Linked DNA regions of Danio rerio. The protein of the gene in region 1 purifies or fractionates together with the protein of each later gene. This does not show direct contact. Links are inferred from orthologs where the notes say so. Each region holds a gene or a part of one and is shown on either strand. Other genes may lie near its edges.

Evidence for each region. Proteins that work in one complex are often made in the same cells at the same time.
Region 2: the proteins of pdhx (region 1) and pdhb purify together in Homo sapiens (affinity purification with mass spectrometry; 4 studies listed by BioGRID and IntAct, counting the BioPlex papers as one, with this or other methods). This does not show direct contact. The link is inferred for Danio rerio from reciprocal best matches to the Homo sapiens genes PDHX and PDHB.

What each region holds. Positions count from the first base shown.
Region 1 is NC_133200.1:40,153,115-40,155,365, reverse strand, and holds part of pdhx (pyruvate dehydrogenase protein X component, mitochondrial), read left to right. Parts: intron 1-216; coding exon 217-375; intron 376-827; coding exon 828-892; exon of another isoform or gene 893-984; intron 985-1,045; exon of another isoform or gene 1,046-1,129; intron 1,130-1,230; exon of another isoform or gene 1,231-1,334; intron 1,335-2,251.
Region 2 is NC_133197.1:9,846,491-9,850,707, reverse strand, and holds the start of pdhb (pyruvate dehydrogenase E1 component subunit beta, mitochondrial), read right to left. Parts: upstream 2,801-4,217; 5' UTR 2,789-2,800; coding exon 2,753-2,788; intron 2,655-2,752; coding exon 2,595-2,654; intron 1-2,594. UniProt on the Homo sapiens protein: The pyruvate dehydrogenase complex catalyzes the overall conversion of pyruvate to acetyl-CoA and CO(2), and thereby links the glycolytic pathway to the tricarboxylic cycle.

The DNA of each region.
Region 1 (2,251 bases):
TACTACTCTGATCTATACTGCATGTGTGCTCCACACTAGAGCTCCTCAGGCAGGATGAGCTGTGTGGTTATAGTCTGTTGAGGAGATGATCAGAGCCGTGTGCTGGCTGATTACTGCCTGAGTTTGAGGGAGGAGCTTGTTTTGGAGGCGGGACTTGATGTGTATGGGTCATCTCTAATAAACAGTGTGTGTGTGTGTGTGTGTGTGTGTGTGCAGGAGCTGCCTGCAGTGAACGTGTCGTGGTCTGCTGACGGGCCGCAGCCGCTGGGCTTCATCCACATCTCGATGGCGGTGGCGACGGATCGAGGCCTGATCACGCCCATCATCAGAGACGCGGCGGATAAAGGCCTGCAGGAGATCTCCAGCACCGCTAAGGTGAAGAACAGGCCCGAACACATGTGCTCCTCACTCTCAACAACACACACAGAGGAGTGAGGAGGTCCAGCATCTGCTTTACGTCAGAATCCTATAGTCTGCATGAGCCGGGAGCTGCGGTTTTACCCTTATTGTGCTGCTGTTACCATAGAAACACGATATTTAATCGGTAAACAGTGGGCGTGGCTTGTTTGTTCTACTGCGAGCTGATTGGCTGTAGTAAAGTAGGCGTGTCATTCAGAGAGATGGCAGAAGGGTTTGGGGAGAGTTATTACAGCCTAACAGACTCCTCCTCCTCACCATTCTGTCTGTTGTCATAGCGATGACAAAACTGACAGCTGGAGGGGCGTGGTTAAGTGTGTTAGCCACGCCCAATACCTCAGACAGTCGTATTGCTGTGTGCTGACCTCCTGTGTGTGTGTGTGTGTGTGTGTGTGTGTGTGTGTGTGTAGGCTCTGGCACAGAAGGCTCGGGATGGTAAACTCCTGCCAGAGGAGTATCAGGGAGGATCCTTCAGGTGAGCGTCTGCACGGTGTCGTTCACCACATATCAGCATTCACTTACTCAGGAGCTTCTGGACCGTCAGCAGTGTGTCTCCTCTGTTGAACACTGAAGCAGATATTATAGGGAAGCTGAATCTACTGATGTCTGTAGTGAGAAAAACACTTACTGTAGAAGTCGATGGTTACAGGTCTCCAACATTCTTCAAAATATCTTCTTCTGTCTTCAACATCAACAAAAGCAACTCAAACAGCTGTGGAGAAGTGAACAGAGTGTAGATGATGACAGGATGATTTTTGTTTCCTTTAATTACAGCTTTGATCAATGAAACTGATCACTTCATCAATGATTTACCGTTCCAAAGTGTTCAGAGCAGCTGCTGGCTCCACCTGCTGGTCAAACTCTGCCAGTGCAGCAAACACTCAGGCAGAGCCACACACGTTTCAGGCACACACCATCTATGCAAACCATAGATGGTTACGAGCTGATGTTAATGTTATTAATGACAGACATCATCATCAATATATTTATATATGTATATTGTTAATAAATATCGTACACAATAAACAATAGTGTTTACTATTTCACAAATATGGCAATGGGGATCAATGTTTCTGATCGCCATTCAATATAACAGTGTGAAGAGTTTTCCATCAGTCGTCATTATTATATGTCAGAGTCAGTATAGCAGATATTTATTTGCTGACTGCTGTTTTCAGAGATATACACCATCTACATTGGACAGGTTTCATTTATATGAAGGATTCATTATAATGAAGGGAAAAGAGCCAGTTAATATGTATATAATAGATCTTTATATGTCATGCAAATCTTTTAATGAATGTAGAACACTATATTAATCTTGTACTCCAGTGATTGAATAGCATTTATTTCTAATAACTTTTTTATTAATGATTTCCCACATTAAACACTGGAGTAATTTATAGTAAGTAAAATATTGTTTTTAAATCATAAAGTGCTGGCAATTATAATTACAACATATAGTAATACAGACAAATTAACTGTTAATATATATATATATATATATATATATACATATATATATATATATATATATATATATATATATATATACACACACACACACACACACACAACAGTTCTGTCTGGTTCTCAAATCTGATTGGCTGAAAGCCGTGCGATATTCTGCAATATCAGAACTCTTACAGCCTCTTTACGGTTTGTGTATTACTCCGCCCACATACAGCCAGCAGAAAGCAGACACTCCACATCTGAAGTGTAAAAGATGCTTGCTCAGCTGTTTCACTGTCAGCTTATGATTTGAATCCAAGGCGGAAGAAAGTAGTTCCTCATACAAAAGGGGTTTTGAGACTCTCCATGTTTGATTTAGTTT
Region 2 (4,217 bases), on another chromosome or scaffold:
CTAAGATGATTTGGCAGATCCTGGATCTTTTAATCTTGATAACTGATCTCTCGCTAATTTGGTTCTTCAAACAAGTTCGCGAATCAGATTAGAATGTCTGGATGAACTGATCTGAGATCGCTGCATGTGTTATGAAGGACAGATCTATCGATCCTCGAAATCATGATCAGCAATGCAACGATTGGCTGACGGCACAGCAGCGTAATGACATCATCTGATTAATATTCAATTATCCATGTGAGCAAAATTACATCAAATTAGCAGTAAACGGCTTGTTAAATATGACATGCAATAACCTTCCACATTAGTTGTGAGCTGCAGGCTTTACACTTTCATGTGTAAAGAGTATTCATCATGTTTTTCAATGCAAATCAATGTATTTAGTTCTACATTTAGAAAAGATTTCCTTTATTATAGTAGCTGTTTTTTTAATCTGTGTAAAGAATAACTGGTTGTTTACAAAAGCATTTTGATATTGGTAAAGGCATCTGCAACTTTTGTGAAGCATCAAATCACTGGCATATTAACTGTCAAAACATGTTTATGACTGCATAAATGTATTATTGCTTTAAAAAAGTCACATACTGTGCATTTCTATTATACACAATTTGTACTAAAGTGATCTAAAAAGTTCATATCAATAAGTTTTCTCTTTGCACCACCAGGTGGCAGTTTTTGTACTTTCATTTCGAGGGTGCAGATTGCATACGTTTTATTAATATGTATAACTTTATTTATTTTATTAATGACTATAACTTTATATATATAGTTAAAAAATATGTACCATTTTCCCAAGTGTACATAACTATACTGTAAGAAAATATCAGAATTCAGAACATACTTTCTGTATTATCTTTGCTTGAACTGAGCCAATCTTATCCTGTTTATATGAATTGAACCTGCTCCCGATCAGGTTTAAGCTAGCAGAACTGTTGCTATGACAACAACTCTCGGATCAGCTTTGAAGAACGAAACGATCCTGGATCGTGTTAAATCGTCAATATCCAAATCCAGCTAACTGAGTAATCCACGTACGAAGAACAGACCCCTGGTAACAACCAGTACAGTGCAAATATGGCTGCAACATCAAACTATGAGGCTAAAAGAAAGCGTCTGTTTCTAAAGTCTTGGAAGCAGACAATCACATGGGTACAATATTAAGAATCTCAACGAAAAAAAAAAATATTTGTCTTCAGTTTAGCAATCTTATAAAAATAATTTAGAATTGCAATAAAATACCAGCACATTTTCAATACTGCTCTTTTGTTTGCATAAAATCTTGAATTTTGCTCATTATATTTTATTAACATTTTTAAAATGTTTAAATTCTACATTTCACAGATATTATTTTGCCACTTAAAAATTTTTTTTTTTTATTTAAAATATGTGGCTTAGAAATAGCAATTAACTTTTTTATTTTTTGGTGGGGGCAGTGAAAACTTTGGCAGGGCAAGTAAAAATCTCAACCTCTGGCCCGATTGGCCCAGTAGAAAAAATCCTTAGCGTTGAACCCTGCATAGTATTTTTCAAAAAGGTTGTTCACTGAAACAGGATATGCGTTGAAAATACCATAGTATTACCATGGTATGTAAATAAACATACCCTTAAACTACCATGGTGCAAATGGAAAAAAAATATTGCATGGTAATTTTAGCAAACCGTTTCCATGATAACGATAAACACAGAAATAATGTATTTTCATGGATAATAAATATTTGGATTTGGAGTATATGTGAACAAATTTGATAATACAACAAAACAAGGTCAAAGTTTAAAATGCCATGGTAAACATAAAAAAACATGGTGTGTGTATATATAAAGTACATCATAGCCATGGTAAATTACCAAGCAATGTTCAATGAAGCACGGTAAATGGCCAAAACAAACAATAAAGATGTTGCACTCTCAGCATACAAACAACATATGACCTTACCATAGTGCACAAAGTGAAATTACATTGTATATTAACAAAGAAAGTCTTGCTAAATGTCAAAAATACTAAGAAAATACTATGGTACTTATAAAGTGTAAAATATAGCTTTACATTGGTAAATGCAAAAGCATTGTGGCATTACAACTGTGTATTACCAAAGAAAGAATGTTCACTGAAACATAGTAAATATCTCAGTCAATGTGCTGTTTCTTTTTTCTTTTGAAACATAAAAGAAGATATTTTGAAAAATGTTAAAACCAGCATTTTTAAAGTTTTTTTCCTGTAATACTTTCTTTTGTGTTCAACGTTTGAAACCCCTTTGTGGGGAGTTAAAAAGTAAGTTTTCATTTTTGGATAACCCATTTTAGCTTTAAAATAACATAATATACAAACACTAACTTACGTCCTTACCACTGTCTAGTAACGTTATTATTAATATAGTATCAATTATCACATAGTAATTACTCAAAACACCGAGGTATAGTCATTGTGTACACACCCAAAAACATGCTGTTACTGTTAGTATCGTCGAGAGCAGTTAATACTTAATATGTTGTCTAAAACATACTAATATGATACACATTTAAGCTCATTTTTCAGATGTGTTATTGTTTTAAATGATGCAGCATCTGCTGAAGGTGAGAGTCGCAGCATCACTGACCTGCACCGCCGCCGGAGGAGTCCTGTGAAACTCCCGCCGCAAAACCGCTGAAACGGCACTCTGAGACACAAATACACCGCCAACATCAGTCTAAACACTCTCATCTAACAAACACCACCGCAATATGCAGATAACAGCTCATATTCACACATAAATACCTTCCCCGAGCGCAGGAAACACCTCAGAGACGCCATGTTTCACTGTCCTCTGTACGGAGGCGGGCATGTCATCCCAGCGGCCGCGGCCAATCAGAGAGCGCGTTGTAAAAGCAGAACAGGAAACGCGAGGAAAGCGGCCAATCAGAGTGGCGGATTCATGACTGAAGCGGAAGTTGCCGTCAGACTGTCACTCCGCGTCCAAGGGCAAGAGAAGAATCTTTTTATAGAAACCAAAAATCTGTGATTTTTAAATCAGTTGCTTCATTGTTGAATGTAAACTGGGCACTTTTGAAATATGGTGCGGGGACATGTTGAAAAAGTCTTAAACAAGTTGCAATATGCTTTAAAATAGGACCAATAAGGTCATTTTATGATTTGTAAGTATTAAAAGACATTAAACTAGCTATTAATATAGTTATATAGTTCATATTAACAATTATATACAGTTAAGTTCTTATAATTTCTAATATACACAGTTTAATTATAACATTTTTCTACACTGCTGGGGAAAACAGCTTAAACCAGGCCAGGCTGATTTTCTGATTTTAGCTGGTCGACCAGCCTGGTTTTTGAGGGGTTTTGGCCATTTCCAGGCTGGTTTCCATGATGTAAATACAGTCAAATTAAAGCTGTACAGTTAAAGCACATCTTGTTCGTTTCATTTTAAATCGTGTTGGTGTATAGAGCCAAAAATGTGAGAATTGTGTAGATGTCCTAATATTTATGGACCTAACTGTATGTGTATATATATATATATATATATATATATATATATATATATATATATATATATATATATATATATATATATATATATATATATACACATTGAAACTTTTGTTTATATTTTCTAGAACGACTGACCAGTTAAAGGAGCAGAAAACATCTTAAACATGAGTATCTGTAAAACACGTTTATTTTCCTCTTTGAAAGTACAAAACATGTTTAGAACATGTTTTGTACTTTCAAAGAGGAAAATAAACGTGTTATGGATGTTTACAGTATACAAGATACTTTGTAGCAATTCTGTGAATTAAACTGCACAACCCAAAATAAATAATGATAATCAAAAGGACATGTTTGCTGTCTATAAAACAAAAAAATATTGGTTTTATTATGTTAAGTATTTTCACATTTATGAGGAAAAAGTGTCGCTATGGATGTGACAGATGTGAATTTGCCACTTGTGTGACTTTGGTAAATCAAATAGAATAGTTGGAAAACATTGACAAGCAGTGTTGAGTATTTCTAAAGTACTGTAAAATACTTGCTTACACAAAAAACCCTGAAACGGATTCCGTATTTTGGTGAAAGCTTAATTTTCTTTCATGGAAAGGTTGACATTTGCACATAATTGCTCATCTACAGTTGAAGTCAGAATTATTAGCCCTCTTCAAACTTTTTTTCTTCGTTTAAAAATATTTTAAAATGATGTTTGACAGGAAATTTTCACAGTATGTCTGAT